Linked DNA regions of Xenopus tropicalis. The protein of the gene in region 2 purifies or fractionates together with the protein of the main gene of each other region. This does not show direct contact. Links are inferred from orthologs where the notes say so. Each region holds a gene or a part of one and is shown on either strand. Other genes may lie near its edges.

Evidence for each region. Proteins that work in one complex are often made in the same cells at the same time.
Region 1: the proteins of plekho2 (region 2) and capzb purify together in Homo sapiens (affinity purification with mass spectrometry; 3 studies listed by BioGRID and IntAct, counting the BioPlex papers as one, with this or other methods). This does not show direct contact. The link is inferred for Xenopus tropicalis from reciprocal best matches to the Homo sapiens genes PLEKHO2 and CAPZB.

The regions. Positions count from the first base shown.
Region 1 is NC_030683.2:129,989,173-129,993,453, reverse strand, and holds part of capzb (F-actin-capping protein subunit beta), read right to left. Parts: intron 2,676-4,281; coding exon 2,586-2,675; intron 566-2,585; coding exon 444-565; intron 1-443. UniProt on the Homo sapiens protein: F-actin-capping proteins bind in a Ca(2+)-independent manner to the fast growing ends of actin filaments (barbed end) thereby blocking the exchange of subunits at these ends.
Region 2 is NC_030679.2:116,154,904-116,158,180, reverse strand, and holds the end of plekho2 (pleckstrin homology domain-containing family O member 2), read right to left. Parts: coding exon 2,159-3,277; 3' UTR 1,023-2,158; downstream 1-1,022.

The DNA.
Region 1 (4,281 bases), on a different chromosome or scaffold from region 2:
TAGTTATGTGTAACTGTCACTGTGTCTGTCCCTTTCCCTTCCCTGCACTGCTGGTTCTGACTCCTGATACAACTCCCCAATATCCATTCATCCCTCATTCTCACTGGGTTTATAGTTATGTGTAACTGCCAGTGACTCGGGGGTTACATGACTGTGCGGATGTTGTTGGGTCACTGACTCTCATTCAGAGACAACTCCTGGGCCACAAGTCTGGTATTAGCAGTCTAAAACTGCAACAGTCTCAGACACCATACAAAGTGCCCAGAGATGCCTCTGAGTGAGAGTATTTCCATTTATTTTAGATTTCATCCCTTTTAATGAGAGACTGGTGAGACCACAGGGAAACCCAGAGAAGCCCAAACTGATGGGTTTGTTTCATAATGAGCAGAACCAGGGGTGCGGGCCCATACATCCCTGCTCTCCTTATGGGTCCGAGTACTGACCTGTAGGAGTCTCCATCTCTGTTGTAGTCGCACAGCAAGTAGTCCTTTCCCACGACTTTGTCGCGAGCGATCTTCAGGGGCTGATCGACAGAAGACAGGAGATCTTCGCACAGACTGGGTACCTACGGGCGGAACCAGAACCCCAGGTAAGGAACATAGCAAGTGAGAATCGGGCCTGGCTAGTATTTAATGTAGGCAAATGGCACACAATTGGCACCACTGCCCTTTAAAAAGGTCTCTAACTGCCTCTGAGCTCCACCTTCCTGGGAAGCAGCACGGCGGCCATATTGGTGCAGGCAGCCAGGGCCCACACAGGTGATACCACTTGTACCACAGGGAGAGGGGTGTGGGTGAATACAGGTGGGCTATGGGACGCACGCTGCGCGCGCGGGGGGGGGGGTAACGGCACTGAAAGCAAAGGGGCTCGGGGAGACATCTGAGGAGGCAGAACACAAAGAGAAGACAAATTGAAAGAAGTTAATGAGATTCTGATAGAGATTTGGGAACAGGGCCGCCCTTGTTGTACCTGGGACCCCCGCGCTGCCCCCCCCCCCCATAATGCACTTGGCTCCGGCCCTACACAGACTTAATTAAACTCACAAACCCCTCACACAAGAATATCAGCCTTTGTCTGCCCAGAAACTGGATACCTGCCGGGGTGGCCGGCTCCTACACACGGGGGCAACCGAGGGGTCACGGCTGCCAGGTGGGAAAAGAGGGGGTAACAGCTACCTTTATACAGTCCCCCCCATCCTACCCCCCCGGATACTGCAGAACCTTCATCATCCTGGGAACTGGGGGGCACCTCTCCTCCACCCTGGGGCTCTGTATATAATATACCCCCATAGTACTGGCAGCCCCCATACCCTGACTGCCCTTACAGTAAGGAACCCCTTCCTATGCTGATGGTGAGATCCCCTTTCCCCCCACCCCCAATGAATCACTCATTCCCCCTCTCTTGTTAGGGAATCCCATAACCTGACTGCCCTTACAGTAAGGAACCCCTTCCTATGCTCATGGTGAGATCCCCTTTCCTCCCCACCCCCAATGAATCACTCATTCCCCCTCTCTTGGTAGGGAATCCCATAACCTGACTGCCCTTACAGTAAGGAACCCCTTCCTATGCTGATGGTGAGATCCCCTTTCCTCCCCAACCCCAATGAATCACTCATTCCCCCTCTCTTGGTAGGGAATCCCATAACCTGACTGCCCTTACAGTAAGGAACCCCTTCCTATGCTGATGGTGAGATCCCCTTTCCTCCCCACCCCCAATGAATCACTCATTCCCCCTCTCTTGGTAGGGAATCCCATAGCCTGACTGCCCTTACAGTAAGGAACCCCTTCCTATGCTGATGGTGAGATCCCCTTTCCTCCCCAACCCCAATGAATCACTCATTCCCCCTCTCTTGGTAGGGAATCCCATAACCTGACTGCCCTTACAGTAAGGAACCCCTTCCTATGCTGATGGTGAGATCCCCTTTCCTCCCCAACCCCAATGAATCACTCATTCCCCCTCTCTTGGTAGGGAATCCCATAACCTGACTGCCCTTACAGTAAGGAACCCCTTCCTATGCTGATGGTGAGATCCCCTCCAGCAATGGAAACATGTCTGTATCTGGTGCTGGCAGCCATGACACTACTGTAGAACTGTAGCGAGGAGAGCACACAAATCACTGATGGGGGCCCCACAGCGGCCTCAGTCGTTAGCGTGGATGGGAAATCATGTGAGTGACGGGGCCGCTAATGTGCTCTAATTAATAGCCTGCTGGTCCCAGGAAGAGGACAATGGCCGAGGCAAAGGGTACGCACTAATGAGGGCCGGGGGGCTGAGATCAGGAGATATAACTACGTATGGAACGCTGACCCCTCTGCCTCCTCTAATTGCCCTGCCGGGGCCCTTCCGCCTTCAACTAGAATCTCAGCATGAGGTGCCCAAGGGCCACATTCAGTCCTTGCTATGTTATTAGTCAGCTCTTCAGCCCAACGTTTCTTCCTGCTGCATCACGGGGGCAGTTGGTTGCACCAGAGGAAATGTGTCGCTCCTGGAGTCCCCTGGTGCAACCAACGGCAATATCCCAGCGCCGCGGGGCACGGCCGCACCTATTGGCCGCGGGTGAGCCCGGACGTAGGGGGTTTCCTTACCAAATCAATGAGGTCGCTGAGGTTCTTCTCAATTTGTTGGGGAGGGAGACGCCTCATCAGATCCAAGGCACAGTCCAGCTGTTGTTCAGTCTGAAAAAGAAAGGGGAAACGGCGCATTAATTCTAATTAGAGCACAAAGGGCAAGTAATAAAAGGAGAGAATACAGGTTTATAAACCCAGAAGTTGCCAGAATGCAGAACTCAGGCCCAGACGGCTACTGAAGCTGGACCCACTGCCGTGATAATTACAATTATTGACATTTATAGCGAGTTTCCATATCCCCTATAGGGTGCTAGCACTTACGTGGCCAGCAGGGGGCGACCTATAGTAAGCGATGAGGGCTTCAGAGCTACAGGCTGCTCAGCCATTTGAACCATGGGAAAAGTTTATCCAAAACCCTATGTTTATCCATATACCCTAAGTTCGGGGCAAAAGGCTGCCCAGTTCTGCACAAGAGCTTACAATCGATGCATTCTATGCTCAGCCTGGGCTGAGTAATACAGGGAGCCATGCAGCCAATCAGCGGAGAGACTGGAAGGTGTTATTAGGAGGCGAGGAAGTGGGGTCCCTGCTGACATATTGGGCCAAACACAAAGCAGCGGGGGCATCTGGCGCACAGGGGGCCGGTCCAGCAGAAGCGCAGGTGACTCTCTCCCAGCGGGAGCCCCGGGGCATTTGCGCAGGAAACACCGGCTTATTTTATCCCACTGTCTCTAGCGGCTCCCAAAGGTCATGGGAAGCAGAGAGAGAGTCTTCTGGGTGATGAGAAACGGCTGTAGGTAAAGGGAAAGTAAGAAGACTGCTACATGCACTGAGTCTGGGGGGAACGGCCGAGCAATTACTGCTCAAAGGGACCCTGTCCCCAAGTTCCTGCTGAATTGTGCTTAGTACAGGGGAATCCCTATGTGCCATAGTTTTATGGTATCTCTCTGTACAGGCTATGAGCAAACTTAGGGGGCTGTTCCTGCTGAATTGTGCTTAGTACAGGGGAATCCCTATGTGCCATAGTTTTATGGTATCTCTCTGTACAGGCTATGGGCAAACTTAGGGGGCTGTTCCTGCTGAATTGTGCTTAGTACAGGGGAATCCCTATGTGCCATAGTTTTATGGTATCTCTCTGTACAGGCTATGGGCAAACTTAGGGGGCTGTTCCTGCTGAATTGTGCTTAGTACAGGGGAATCCCTATGTGCCATAGTTTTATGGTATCTCTCTGTACAGGCTATGGGCAAACTTAGGGGGCTGTTCCTGCTGAATTGTGCTTAGTACAGGGGAATCCCTATGTGCCATAGTTTTATGGTATCTCTCTGTACAGGCTATGAGCAAACTTAGGGGGCTGTTCCTGCTGAATTGTGCTTAGTACAGGGGAATCCCTATGTGCCATAGTTTTATGGTATCTCTCTGTACAGGCTATGGGCAAACTTAGGGGGCTGTTCCTGCTGAATTGTGCTTAGTACAGGGGAATCCCTATGTGCCATAGTTTTATGGTATCTCTCTGTACAGGCTATGAGCAAACTTAGGGGGCTGTTCCTCCTGAATTGTGCTTAGTACAGGGGAATCCCTATGTGCCATAGTTTTATGGGATCTCTCAGTACAGGCTATGAGCAAACTTAGGGGGCTGTTCCTGCTGAATTGTGCTTAGTACAGGGGAATCCCTATGTGCCATAGTTTTATAGTATCTCTCTGTACAGGCTTTGA
Region 2 (3,277 bases):
CACCTTGCCAAATGAGCAGATCGCACCATGTATGACCACCTTTATCCTGAAGAACAGGCAAGAGCAAGCAGGAACCTCAGAAACCAGATCATCTGAACTGGCAATTTATAATGCACCAGGAACTCAACCCTGGCCTTTGGCATGATTTTATTTAGAATCTGATGACATCACAGCACGGTGTAATGACAATATTGCAAGTGTACTTGGCCCATGATGTCACCAGTAGTCTGTGCTACATCACTAAGTATAGTCATTAAAGACGAACTAAAGCCAAACTAAAGAAGTAGGGCAGAAATGTTGTACATAACATTTTGGACTTCTTTACCAGCCCAAGGCAACCACAGCCCTTTAGCAGGGAAGATCTGTATCTCTGAAGATGCCCCAGTAGGCCTTAGGGACCCACTCACAATATACTGTATACTGTATATAGAATATAAATGTTACACTAAAAGGCTTATTAGTAATTAATTCAGATAAATACTACATCACAGTTTAGAAACCAGTGCAACTAGCATCATAATTTATAATCATCCTGTGACAAGTTTGAAGTCTTGGATCATTGTGGTTATTGAGATGCTGAAACTTTAGGTGCAGTATATAAAATATGGTGTTTTAGCCATATTCATTTTTAGGGTTTAGTGGACGTCACTATACAACATTAGCCAAAAAGACCTATTTCTTCTCCAGTTGTTACCTTGTTACCTGATTCTCTGTGTGATATCACCCACTGTGAGAAAAAGTAATATGTTTCAGCTTGCAGAGAAATGCTTTGTTTACATCCTTGGTGATGCTCAACCACTGCCCAGTGACTAGAAGAACCATGCAATAAAATCATATTGAGGAACATCTTGCTACTTGTTCCTTCATATTCACAGAATCAGCATTACCATGGAAATGTCAACTAATTCTGTAGAAAAAAAGGAATATAAACCAGTGTTACATATAAAAAACATATTAATAATACAGGGGTTCAAACTCTGTATAATGAGTAATTGACTAGCAGGGATTTAAGAGATGTGTCATTAGAGCATAGAAATTATTTTATTTCTCATGACAAGTGAGTGATATCTCAAATAGGGAAATATGTAACTTTTGTATAATGCGTTCATTCAAAGGTCATTATACCTTACAGGTGTATTTCACATGATCTTTTTGTAAGGGAAAGGCAGGGGACAATAGCAGATCCATTTTAAAAAGTCTTGTTCACCTATAATTTAACTTTTAGTATTAAGTAGAGTGTGATATTGTGAGACAGTTTGCAACTGGTATGTATTATTTGTGGTTTTTAAATTATGTAGCTCTTTGTTCAGCAGCTCTCCAGTTTGGAATTTTTGCAGCTATCTGGTTGCAAATTACCCTAGCAACCAGGCAGTGATTTTAATGAGAGACCCTAAGATGAATAGGAGAGGGCCCAAATAGCATGTTAAGTAATACAATTTAACAATAACAATTAAAATGTACCCTCATGGAGCAATAATTGTTAGGATGCTGGGGTCGGTACCCCCCATTTAAAAGCTATAAGGAGTCGAAAGAAAAAGGCAAATTATTCAAAAACTATAAAAGAAAAAAATAATACCGAATGAGAAGTTGATTAGAATTGGCCAGTTTATAACATACAAAATGTTAACTTAAAGGTGAACAACCCCTTTTGATATGTAACATTTAATCTATGCTTTGTAAAAAATAACCACTTTTTAATATACATTTAATATATTTAAATATTATATCTGTTTTGCTTTGTGTAATTTGGAGTGTACGATGAACCTATGAATATGTCTATTTATAATCATATACAGTATAATGCATTTAGAATCACTTGTTAGCTAAGCTTGCATCATGGCTTGTGTACAATAATCTACAATGTCCATTCTGTTCCCCAGGAAACACTGACACAAAAGAGAGAAGGTGTACAAGATAAAGTGCCAAAGCAGTTTTAGAAGGGTGGTGCTTATCTCAGAGTTCCACTCCCTCGGGCCTCTGATCTCCCTCCCCCAACACGTCCAAAGGTAACTATATTGTATGCGTGTTCAGAGAGGGTTGGGTGGGCAGTGGGGGGGCCCCTAGTATGGCAGCTCCGGTGGGCCCTGCATCCCCCAGTCCAACCATGGCTCCGCTTCTGAGGTTTATTCTCAGTATTGTGAGGACACTTGAGTGGAGGCTAAGGGACACTTCTCCTGTACAAAGTCACTAGGTCTCTCTTTTTCAAGGTTACTGCCCCAGCCACATCTATTGATACATTACTGGATTCTTGTAACTCTTGTAATACTTCTGATGCCTCTTTGAGTTGCTTCACAGCCTCATTTAGAAGCGTCTCTGCCTCTGGCCCATTGCCTTCAGGACTATTTATAAGATCGCCCTGCAAGACCCGATTTAAAAGTGTCTCTGTTTTCTCCCTTCCACGGGCAAGCTTCATTTCAACTTGTTGCAGATGGTCCTTAGTAAGATGTAACATTGGCGTTTTATGCCCACTCCTGCTTTCAGAACCCATACTGTCTTCTGAAAGGAAGTCTCCCAGGGAGGATGATCTGGGTATTCTCTCAGGAATGGTTGACTTTGCTAATGCAGGATTAATTTGGGTTAGTGTGCTCTGTACTTGTGAGGACTGTTCTTCCATACTTTGGATGCAACCTGAGTCTTCAAAAGCCTCTTCTTTAGCTGTTTCCTTCTTCTGCACTTCACTAGGGTCAGGCATTTCTTTAGTTTCAGAATTATCGGAACCCTCTTCCACTTCTTCAGTGGTTTTCTCATCTAGCTGATCAAAGATGTCCTGATCATTAGACTGTTGGCTGTTCATGTCATCGTTCAGCTCTGGTTCTTTTGCTTCATCTGACAACTCAGCTGACTCAACAGAAGTCTTTTCAAGTTCATTAGAATCAAATTCCACCAGGTTCTCTTTGCTCCCTCTGTCAACTGGCTTTATTGAATCTTTGTCCATTAGATCTGATGTGGATCCTTCCCATTTAATCTTCATTTTGTCAGATAAGATCTTTGGAGGAGGTTGGGGAGGATTATTGATATCTACCAAGTTTTCTCTGCTCCCACTAACAGGCAAATTTACTTCAGGGTTTGTGTTTCCACCATTGGACAAAAGTTTTTCTCTTGCATAAATGTTCTCTTTAAGGATTTTGGGTGGTGGTGATGGTGGGCGAATGATTGGTGCAACACTGTCTGTGTTATCTGGATGGGGCTTTCCTATGGATGGTTGTACAGAAGTCTTATCTAGAGGTAGCGTAGGTATTTTTGTGTGTTCTTTTTCTGGCATAGGACCTTGTTTTGG